Stegostoma tigrinum: one gene and its partners. The protein of the gene in region 2 interacts with the protein of the main gene of each other region in a biochemical or structural test. Links are inferred from orthologs where the notes say so. Each region holds a gene or a part of one and is shown on either strand. Other genes may lie near its edges.

The links.
Region 1: the proteins of membrane-associated guanylate kinase, WW and PDZ domain-containing protein 2 (region 2) and corticotropin-releasing factor receptor 1-like form a complex in vitro, tested with the Homo sapiens proteins (2 studies listed by BioGRID and IntAct, with this or other methods). The link is inferred for Stegostoma tigrinum from reciprocal best matches to the Homo sapiens genes MAGI2 and CRHR1.
Region 3: the proteins of membrane-associated guanylate kinase, WW and PDZ domain-containing protein 2 (region 2) and adrb1 interact in a test that uses a peptide from one of them, tested with the Homo sapiens proteins (4 studies listed by IntAct, with this or other methods). The link is inferred for Stegostoma tigrinum from reciprocal best matches to the Homo sapiens genes MAGI2 and ADRB1.

The regions. Positions count from the first base shown.
Region 1 is NC_081384.1:41,196,879-41,200,630, forward strand, and holds the start of corticotropin-releasing factor receptor 1-like, read left to right. Parts: upstream 1-1,063; 5' UTR 1,064-2,078; intron 2,079-3,752.
Region 2 is NC_081378.1:25,514,882-25,518,633, reverse strand, and holds the start of membrane-associated guanylate kinase, WW and PDZ domain-containing protein 2, read left to right. Parts: upstream 1-883; 5' UTR 884-1,775; coding exon 1,776-2,073; intron 2,074-3,752. UniProt on the Homo sapiens protein: Seems to act as a scaffold molecule at synaptic junctions by assembling neurotransmitter receptors and cell adhesion proteins. Plays a role in nerve growth factor (NGF)-induced recruitment of RAPGEF2 to late endosomes and neurite outgrowth.
Region 3 is NC_081373.1:23,476,242-23,479,993, reverse strand, and holds the start of adrb1 (beta-1 adrenergic receptor), read left to right. Parts: upstream 1-854; 5' UTR 855-1,325; coding exon 1,326-2,558; 3' UTR 2,559-3,752. UniProt on the Homo sapiens protein: Beta-adrenergic receptors mediate the catecholamine-induced activation of adenylate cyclase through the action of G proteins. This receptor binds epinephrine and norepinephrine with approximately equal affinity.

The DNA of each region.
Region 1 (3,752 bases), on a different chromosome or scaffold from region 2:
TTGTTTGATTTTAGACCGAGAGAGTTAACGGTAACCTAAAAGAGAAACTCAGGAATGTGATAACTTAGAGCGAGCTACTGCGGTTTGCTCTGATCAATGGCCCGCGCTCAAAAGGGATCCAATTTGATAAAGAAATCAGATGAAATGACAAAGTTTGCTTTTCACACGGAATAAACTCCGTGACTGGATGTGACATGAGTTACCAAAGTGAAAGTTGAAAAAGCTCCCCGGTGTCCCCGGACAACAGCCTCTTACCGCAGCCGGCTGTTAGCACCACAGTCCCAGTCCCACCCCCCGCCCCGGAATCGGGAGGGGTCGCTCGCTCTGAATTTCGCACAAGACCGAGCAAATTCTGATTGATCCAGTGCACCGGAGCGATTGGGCGAATGAGGGAGGAGGAGAGGGACAGAGAGGCATACAGAGTGACGGTCAGACACAGAGCCGGAGGGAAAGAGGGAGAGAGACGGAGAGGGGTGGTCAGGGCAGGAAGCTACAGAGTATGGTCAGTGATAGACGAAGGCGGGGGTGGGCAGAGGCGGAGAGAGATACAAAGAGGGTAAGAGAAGGGGGGCCGCAACGGAGAAAGATTGAGTGAGAATCAGAGCAGAGAGGGACAGAGTCGGGGAGAAGCGCAGTGAGGGTCAGTCAGAGAGGGACAGAGACTGTGTGAGAGTCAGAAACAGAGAGAGGGGTCAAAGACAGAGAGGGAGTAGTCAGAGATAGAGAGGAACAAAGACAGAGAGAGGGACAGAGACCGAGAGAAGGGGGGACAGAAACCGAGAGAAGGGGAGACAGAGACCGAGAGAAGGGGGGACAGAAACCGAGAGAAGGGGGGAACAGAGACCGAGAGAAGGGGGGACAGAAACCGAGAGAAGGGGGGACAGAAACCGAGAGAAGGGAAGACAGAGACCGAGAGAGGGGGGGACAGAGACCGAGAGAGGGGGGGACAGAGACCGAGAGAAGGGGGACAGAAACCGAGAGAGGGGGGACAGAAACCGAGAGGGGGCGGACAGAAACCGAGAGGCGGGGGGACAGAGACCGAGAGAAGGGGGACAGAGACCGAGAGAGGGTCAGAGATTTAGAGAGGTGGAGAGAGATTGAGAGAGGGAGTCAGAGACCGAGAGAGAGGGAGTCAGAGACCGAGGGAGAGGGGGACAGAGAGGCGGACAGAGACAGAGAGAGGGAGTCAGAGGCCGAGAGTGGGTACAGAGACTCAGAGAGAGGGACAGACATTGAGAGACGAGGAGAGAGACAGAGAGAGAGGAACAGAGATTGAGAGAGAGGGACAGAGACTGAGAGAGGGGGAGTCAGAGACTGAGAGAGAGGGACAGAGAGAGGGAGTCAGAGATTGAGAGAGAGGGACAGAGACAGAGAGCGTGAGTCAGAGATTGAGAGAGAGAGGGACAGAGATTGAGAGAGAGGGACAGAGACAGGGACAGGGACAGAGATTGAAAGGGAGGGACAGAGACAGAGAGAGGAAGTCAGAGACTGAGAGCGAGGGACAGAGACAGAGAGACGAAGTCAAAGGTTGAGAGAGAGGGGGACAGGGACAGAGAGGGGGGACAGAGATTGAGAAGGACAGAGAGAGAGAGGGGGGAGACAGAGCTTGAGAGAGAGGGACAGAGACAGAGAGAGGGAGTCAGAGAGAGAGGGGGGACAGAGACTGAGAGAGCGGGAGTCACAGACTGAGAGAGGGGGAGTCAGAGACAGAGAGTCAGAGATTGAGAGAGACGCACAGACAGTGTGTGCCAGAAATGGAGAGAGACTGAGTCAGAGGCTTTGAGAGAGTGACAGAGACAAAGGAAGAGGGACAGAGACGGAGAGACAGATCGCATTCAGATCAGAGAGAATCTGGACCATTTTCGGGGACACTTTAGTGACAGAGCCGCGTGGCGACGCCGAGAACAGTGGGAGTTCTCCTGCAATCCGGGAAGGCGATCTTTCTGCTTGTTTGAAGCGGTTCCTGCTGCCCTGGGAATGAAGGAGGAGGACGAAGAGAGCAGGACAAACTGATTATCTCTGACCAGGTCAGAGACTCCGTGCAGTAGCTGCTTTTGTGCAACTCCTGAAAGCTGAGGGTAAGACCGACTTTTCATTTATTGTTACAATTTGAAAAGCAATAGCTAGGAATCTGATACAGCGTTGAGGGAGACGTATGGAAGCTGGAATTTTCTGCAGCTGGGAGCGAGGTGCGGTGATGTTCTGGATATGGGAGCGGTGAACTTGCTGGGCAGGAGACAAAAACAGAAATTGTTTGAAAATCTCAGCAGGTCTGGCAGCATCTGTGGAGAGGAATCAGAGTTAATGTTTCGGGGCCACTGACCCTTCCTCAGAACGGGATCTGAGAATTAGTCCCTGTCCTCTCCCTGAGGCACTGTACTGTTTATTTCTTGTTCTAGTTCAAAACAGAAACGATTCTTTACGTTCTGATTACAAAACAAAAGCTGAAGTGCGTCCACAAACTGATCGAATCTAGAGAGATTGGAGATCGAGCCAACTGAGCGAATGTTGCTCGAGCGAAACAGAATAAACCAGTGATTTATGGAATATCACAGAGAATAATTATATATATCTCAACAGCAGCTCAGGATGGTCAGATATAGATACCTTTCAGTAATCATTATGTTTCATTTAATTTGCAGCAGTTGGTTTAACCCAGCAGAAGATGAGAGCGCGTTGGATGTAAATTTACCCTTGTATTTGTATTTGACAGAGTGTTTCACCCCGATTTGTTCGGAGATAGAGTTCCCCTGTTTGGAAGCTGTCAGTGCAGACACCATTTCTCCATTTGAACTGGAGCTTCTGCGTGCCGGCATTTCTGTTTGAGCTACCCTTCCAACTCTTGCTCAGCTGGAATTGAAGTAGCTTCTTCTTGTTTTTTTCTAGTCCTCGGCAATACGATCTTCCCTGCTATATTTATTCTCCAGCTCATCACTGTGTTGCATTTTACATAGAGTCCCCATAGAGTTGCCCAGTTGCTGACACATGGAAAATGCATCCAGTCTCTTTTCCAAGTCACTGTATCACAGCAATGTCTTTTACTTTCTCTGCTCCTTTCCTCATGTTTATAGCTTTCTTTCTGTGTTTTACACCCTCTACCTTTACAGCTCTCTTACATTTATGGTTATTTCCTTTCCTTTTTATAGATTTTTTAAAAAAAATTAGCATTTTTTGTTGTGTATTTTGTCTGAAGTCTGTCTCTTGTCTAGCCATCCAGTTATGCCTGTCTCCCCGATGTTGTTTAATTCTCTGCCTATACATCTTGTGTCTGACATCTCCCTCAAATGATAGTCTGTCTGATGCTAACTTGTCTTTTTGTCATGTGTCTCTTCTCATATCTTATGACCTAAGCTTTGTCTGTCAGATATCCCTTCTTCTTTAGTAGCTGTCCGTCACAGAATCACAGTATGTTATAGTGCAAATGAGACCATTTGGCTCATCATGTCTCAGAGCATTTCAACTTTTTGCCCTTCTCCTGTCTTTCCTCCACAACTCTGCATGATTGTTTAAAATAGAAACAATGTCTTTTTGAATGCCTTGACTGTACTTACCTTAGCCACACTTCCAAGTAGTGTGAAAGAGATTATTTCTCATCTTGCATTTGCTTCTTTTTGTGAAATACTTAAAATGGTGTCTTCTGGTTCTTGAATCTCTAATAAATGGGAAACAATTACTCCCCATCTGTCCAGGCCCCTCACAATTTTTAAGCATCCATCAGATCTCTCCTCAGCCTTCTCCAAGGAAAACAGTCA
Region 2 (3,752 bases):
GCAGGAGGTAGTAAGCCAATGTAGAATATAAAATCCAATTAGATAAAACATTGCAAAAAAAATTCAGCAGGGACCCACCAACATTGGAAATACTTGATATGTTGATCAAACGCATGGGCCATGCATGGCAAGGATGAATAAACAAGGTTTCTACCGGTAAGGATTCTTCAGTACATCAATAACATTATTCAAATTAGTTTGTAGACTCCAAATAATTACACATTCATTTTAGTAATTTGCAAGCCTATTAAGTCAAAAATTGTAGATCACTTCCAATATGTTAGTGTTATTTCTATATTTAGTCAGTCCTAATATGCCAAAGCTTTGATAGTATATTTTGCAGTTTCATAGAATCATACAAACAGTAGGTTACATGTTTGGGGCAACTTTTTGAAACACCTATTCAATTACATCCTCTCCCATTCCCTCGAACTCCCTTTTTTTATTAAAAAAAGTTTCAAGTAAAAATCCAACTTGGTACTGAAACTGGTTTCCGCGACTCTACAGATTCCAAACTATAATTAGGCTGCACTAAATGAAATCACCTCAACGTTTTGCCAATCGTCCTAAACGTGTTTAAATCTCTGGTCAGAAATTCTTCTATCGGTTTAAAGAGTTTCTTACTATCTATTTAATAAAGACTTTTCATAAAGTTGAACAATTTTATTTTAAGTAGCTTCTCAATCTCGACCTCTCTGGAAAAACATTCGCAGCATTTCCAGGTAACTGAAGGTCACATTCCTTTCTAAGTCATTTAGACTGAGGTAATAGTACAATGGCACAAAAGTTCCAGAAAAACACAGCGCGTACAGAATACTAAGTCAGCGGTTTCCCCTTTCGCACCAATCGAGCGGTCTGGAGCGGAGATTCGGCAGGAAATTCTGCATGTGGTTATATTACGTGACTAACAGCAATAATAAAGGGGGGGAGGCCGCAGATAAAATCAAATCGTGTAATTCCAATAAAATATCACTGACTCTTCATGCGTTAGAGACAGGCGGAAGCATCTAAACAGCTGATTTGACCCAAAGAAGTAAAACAATCGAATCGGCAGACCTAATATTACTATTAACGCTACAGCATCCGAAATCGCGCGAGGCCACACCGACCTTTCCAGTACCTTCGGCCGCAGCCGTTTAACGGTCTCGACGGAAAGCTGCGCGTGCGCTTCTGGGTTGTCGGCGGCGATTGGAGTGAGGCTGCAGCGTGAGCGTGAATGAAGTTGGTGCAACTTGGGAGCAGATTCAGTTTTGTGTGGATGGGATTGAATGTCTGTGAAGACTGTTAAATCCGGGGATAAACAACTACATACATATACACACAGACAGGGCTTCCCTGGGCTGGCCTTGCACCGACATTTGTTCTTTTTTTCCCTCTTCCATCTGGAAATTTTGTAAGAGATGAGGGAGGATCCCCGCCGTCATTCCCAGCCGGTGTCAGCTGTTTACCCCGTGAAGAGATTGAAATGCGTGTTTGCAGAGAACGACGGCGCAGGGGGTAAATACATTATCGTCCTGTGTATTTGTGACGAGTGGGTATTTTGAAAGAAACTTGCTAATTGTTGAGGCCTCCTTTTCATTCTTCGCTTCTGCCATCATCATCATTTAACCGGGCTCCATGGAAATGTCAAGGAAAGTTGCGTATTCCGCCGTCACCTCCAAGGCTCCGGGCTGTTCTGACAACTCTGCCGGGCTTGGGATCTAGTTTTGCATCAGCCCGCGTTGTCACACGATTTCCTCTTTGAAACGTTGATCTGCAAGCTGCTTACCGGAACGATGTCCAAGGTATTAAAAAAGAAAAGTCACTGGACAAGTAAAGTCCATGAAACTGTGATATGTAGAGATAAGGATGGGGAACTGAATGTGGAGATCAAAGGTGGCGCAGAGAATGGTTTGTTTTCGTATCTGGGAGAAATGAAACACAACAAAATTAACTACGAGGATGGAAAACTGCATACTGATGAGTTGTTATTGGAAGTCAATGACACAGCAGTGTCAGGGCTCACTATTAGAGATGTATTGGCTGTGATCAAGCATTGTAAGGACCCAATTCGTTTGAAGTGTGTCAAACAAGGTACAGTAATCTTCCAATAATGTTAACTACCAGTTTCGTATTAAAGCTGCATGTATTTTTCACTTGTAATGCGTAAATAACCGTTTTTGAAAGTTATGTCTGACATGGAAATTGCGTTCCCTCGAGTCTGATAAAGGGCAATAGGTGAAATAATCAAAAATGTACAAATATAAAGTTAGAAGCTGTGGTCCGAACAGGTACTGTTAAATATCCTATTTTGGAAGATCTGTCTTTGTACCGTTTTATGCCTAAAGAAATTTTATTAGAGTGTTGAGAAGTTAGGAGAAAATATTTTCTTCTATCTTCCAAACTAACAGGTCTGTTAACTATTTTAAAATTGCCACAACTTTGCAGTACATAAACGATATATGACAACATTGCAGACAAGAATTCTTAGATGATGTCAGTATTGTAGGAGTGAGTGATGAGAACACCTTTGAAGTAAATAAAACTATGTATTGAACCAAAATCCTTGTGAGGTTGCAAAACTAAAGTCTTGATTTATTTTCTGCACAAATGTCATGTGATGAATATTTGTTCTAATGACCAGCAATTGTTTTCACAATATCCTTGAAACATAATTTATTTTAGCCTGGGTGCAAAGCCATTGTTTTCTTTCTAATATGTTGCAGAATGAAAATAATGTTAATTTCTATGGAATAATTGTAATCAATGGACACTGGATAAAGTCACATATTCATTAACGGGTTGACCAGGAGTTCTAAGAATGGATAATGGTGAATTAACATCAAGACATGTATTCATGACATTATCCTGTACATTGAATAGACTGTCTATCATGTATGAAATTATGTGGATGGCAATGCTATAGAAGAGTGACAATAAATCTAAGATTATTAATTCCAAATATGACATTTTCTATTTACTGAATTCCCTAGTCCAAATGTTCAGCTTGATCCACTCATTTATATAAATAACAAAGTACTTTTCATAATTCTAAGCTTTAAATGTTTGTTCTAAAAGTTGTTTTTCAGAACAATGACCTGTTCAGTACTATAACATATATGTTCAGGCAACCTTTGCAAAAATAAATCATATTAATAAAAGTTACTTAAACTTAATTTTGAGAAATTACAGGAATGTGATTATCTGTATTGAGGATGCAAATAATGTTCTTGTGGGGTGGCCATAGGTGATTGTCAATTTTTTTTTTCAATGTATATCGGCAACATAGGAAATATTGGAGAAGTAAGAAAGCTAAGAGGAAAAAAAGGAATGAATCAGGACCACTTGGATAGTTCACCAATGTAGTTTTATAGATTTTTAAATAGCAGGTTGTATTTGACTAGTGTTCAATAATACTTTGCATAAAAATTAAAGGAAATACTGTGTATATGATTTATATGGATTTTAAGATTTTCAACAAAATACAATACGATTTGTAACAATATGACATTGAGGGGAATTAAACCACACACATGAAAAAAGTGTGTTAGACTGCCGAAGACAGTACAGGTAAAGTTAAGTTTCTCAGGCACACCATTTGGTGAATGATATTCCACAGGGCTCTGTATTGAAAGTATTGCAATGTATGTAAGCAAGCAGCACTTAGGACATGAAGCAATCACAGTGCAAATTTATTGATGACATGATACAGAAGAATGTTGAAAATTGTGATGAGGATTTTGAAAGACTGCCGGAAAACTTAGGCAGGGAAT
Region 3 (3,752 bases), on a different chromosome or scaffold from region 2:
TAAGTGAATTACGTATTTGAAGTAATTAGAGAATGAGAGTACGAATGCAGAATTGGCAGGGTTGCAGGGTAAGTCAGAGGAACAGAAGATATTGTCCCTTTCAACAGAATAAGCCATCAAAAATGTTTAATGCAATGTCAAACAACCACTTTAAAAAAACTGGATGAATACTTCAGTAGTAAAAGTTGACGAACGCTGAGGAATACCAGTCCAGTTCTTTTAAAGACCTGGCACAGACTCCAATAGACCCCTTCAGTTCTGATTGATTCTGTCACTCTCAGGAATAAGTGATGTGGTCTCTGTCACAGAAATGCATTTTGCGGTATACGATTGGTCAGGGTTGAAAATCGGACGCTATCAATAAGAAAATAATCTTTCACTTGTTCATTCTCAGGGTTTAAAGTAAGTTTCATAGTTTTATAAAGTTTCGGGAATTCTATTAACATTTTATTAGATACTTAAATAAAAATGTACATAAAAGTGTAAATTGAACATGGTATATTGAATAGAATGGGCTTCGTGGACCTAATTCCTTTTGGTTATTTACTTTCTTGTGATAAGATAATCCTCCTGTTAAATGGCTTAAGGTCTGAAGTGTAGTTTTAGTTTGAGTGAGAAAGCAGAATGAGGGACTAGCAACTTGTGAACAGTCAGCGACCTCAGGATCCATTCCGAGTTCTAAATCCACAGCAGGGTGTACGTTCTCTGAACTGCAGATAATCTTCTCAAACAGTTCTGATATGGAACTGGGCGGGACCTCTTCCACTGCTACTGAAATTCGAGCTAGCAGCACAGTCTATTCCTGGCCCCCCAAAAATATTTACAGGGACTTACCGTCACTCCCCGAGTGGTTGTCAGCACATTAATCCACGTGAATTCAAAACTAAATAAAAAAGGAAAGACCCAGTGGGGTAAACGTTTGGAAATGAACATTGTGATTAGTCCAGTCTCGTGTTTCTGTAAAGTTCAGGTATTTTCGCCAGGATTTCAGAAGCTGCTTTAAAATATATACCAGAGATAACTGATTGGGGGAAAAAAGTTATCTTTTTCCTCTCTCCCTTAACTTGCACTCAGGGCACCCTCATTGAAGTTAATGCTCTCTAAATGGAAGTTGGAGATGTGGCGTCAGGAAGAGGCTCATTGGAGGAACTCTGTGTGCGACGTGAAAGGGGAGGGCGCTGTGCTGCTCTGACCCCCCAGCTACAGGTTGTTGGTGCCGCCACAGCCAGAGGATGAAGGAGGACAGCACCACACACAGCATCTGCGGGGACAATCTCCGATGAAAGCGACGTGATCTCCTGGCTCGGTCAGCGGCACTCTACACAATGGGAGACCGCCTGTCCTCTGAGGATTGTCACACTAACAAATCCAGCACCATCCTCTTTGTTAATCCTGCAAACGGGGTAAGTCCACACGTGCCTCAGCAAGAGTTCTCTGAGCAGTGGGTGATAGGGATGGGCACAGTAATGGCCAGCATCGTCCTGATCATTGTCCTCGGAAACCTCTTGGTGGTTTTTGCCATCGCCAGGAACCAGCGGCTGCAGACGCTAACCAATGTTTTTATTGTGTCTCTGGCCTGTGCAGATCTGATTATGGGCTTGTTGGTGGTGCCTTTCGGGGCGACCTTGGTCGTGCGAGGTAACTGGTTGTACGGCTCGGTTTTCTGTGAAATCTGGACTTCGGTCGATGTCCTGTGTGTGACGGCGAGCATCGAAACTTTGTGTGTGATCGCCATCGACCGCTACGTGGCGATCACTTCCCCGTTCCGCTACCAGAGCTTACTGACGAAAGCCCGAGCCCGGGCCATCGTGTGTGTGGTCTGGCTCATCTCTGGCCTCATCTCCCTGCTGCCCATCATGATGCACTGGTGGAGGGATGACCAACCCGACGCCATCCGCTGTTACAATGACCCCTGTTGCTGTGACTTTGTCACGAATAAAGCCTACGCCTTGGCTTCCTCCATCATCTCCTTCTACCTGCCTTTAGTCATCATGATCTTCGTCTACGCCCGCGTCTTTCAAGAAGCCAAGAAGCAAATGAAGAAGATTGATAAGTGCGAGGGCAGGTTTTATACCAGTCACTTCATCCCAAACGGCAGGTCAGCTCGCAGGAGACCCTCCAAGATTATAGCCATTAAGGACCACAAGGCGTTGAAGACTCTGGGGATTATTATGGGAACATTCACCCTGTGCTGGTTACCCTTTTTTCTAGCCAATGTGGCGAAGGCTTTCCGGACTGACATCGTGCCCGGCAAACTCTTTCTGTTTTTCAACTGGCTCGGCTATGTCAACTCAGCTTTCAACCCCATCATTTACTGCAAGAGTCCAGACTTCCGAGCCGCCTTTAAGAGGTTACTGTTCTGCCCCGGCCAGACAGACAGTAACAGGCTGTGCACGGGCTCCGGGGAGTTCTCCCGGTGTTCGGGCGTGTTCGGCAACACTCTGGACCCGAGGAGCCTGGAGACATGGTCAGAATGGAACAGGAGCCAGGAGCCGAACGGGGGCGGTTTGGACAGGCACATGGGCGAGAACCCTGACGACCAGGAGTCCCAGTTCTAGCGCGGGTGGAGTGCGGGCAGCAAGTCCAGCTTCTCAGACAGAAACGTTCAGGTTCCGTGGAGAAGACAAAAAAAAGCGTTGAAGACAGAGCAGTGAGTGCGGGCGAGCGGTCCCACACCCACTCAGTATTGTAGGAAACAGGCATTGAAACCCAGCACAGACCAACTCCGCGGTGGATTCCTGCCGCAAGCGATCGTTCCCCGCAATTCTGGAGAACGGAAGGCCAACGTAGATTAACACTAAGGTTTGGATTCGGAGCGATCCTAGACTGTAGCAGCGGACACGCTTTGCCAGGATGCGCTGACTTTCATCGGACGAAACAGCAGCCCACCGTTTTGCAACAAGAATGGTGTGTCCCGCTTAAATCACATTCCATGGTCAGAGGCAATTTCCAACGTGGATTAAAGAGGAGCTCTCGGTTACATGAACAATCGCCGTGTCCCCAAAATAACGGGTCGTTAAGGTCATTGTGTTATTATTTTCAACGTTTTGGATTATGTTAAAGAGAAACCACAAGTTTCATTTTAAAACAATTTGAATAAACAAAGGTCCACCGTCTAAAACAAAATATTTCAGATTTTCTAACAGCTGGTCAATGATCTGTCAGTGACCGACGCCTCGTATAGGAGTGGACATTCGGAGCAAGACATGGATCCAGGTGTTGCTGCCAATTTCGTGAAACCGCTCTCTCTCACTGTAAGACTGTGTTTTGAATAACACTACCTCCAGCTGTACAGATTGTGTACAGATCTATTTATATCAACCATTGTTTATATTAAACAAATCGCATTTTATATATTTAAAAATAGACAAAGCGACACGCAACCTCAGAGTTGACCAGTAGAAAAGTTGAATGAATAGGGGTCAGTTACTTATTTAATTAATTTAAATTCCACACAGGACCAACTTCACCTGCACTTTCCTAAGTGTGGAAAGTTGGTATTTCTCAGTACGAAGATTATGTGCGGCACGTTGTTAACATTGGTGAATATTTTACAGCGCATCTTAGTATGGATAGAACCAAGTAAACATAAAACTCCGGGTAAGCTTTCGAAAATGAAGCATCGGAGTGCAGAAAAGGGTACTCGTGTCGAATGGTGATGTACTGCAATGTTTGCCTGATAAGCCAAAAAAGCGTTTCCCCACCCACTCGATATGAAATTCACGTTCAGCTGTGTGATGTATTTGTCACAA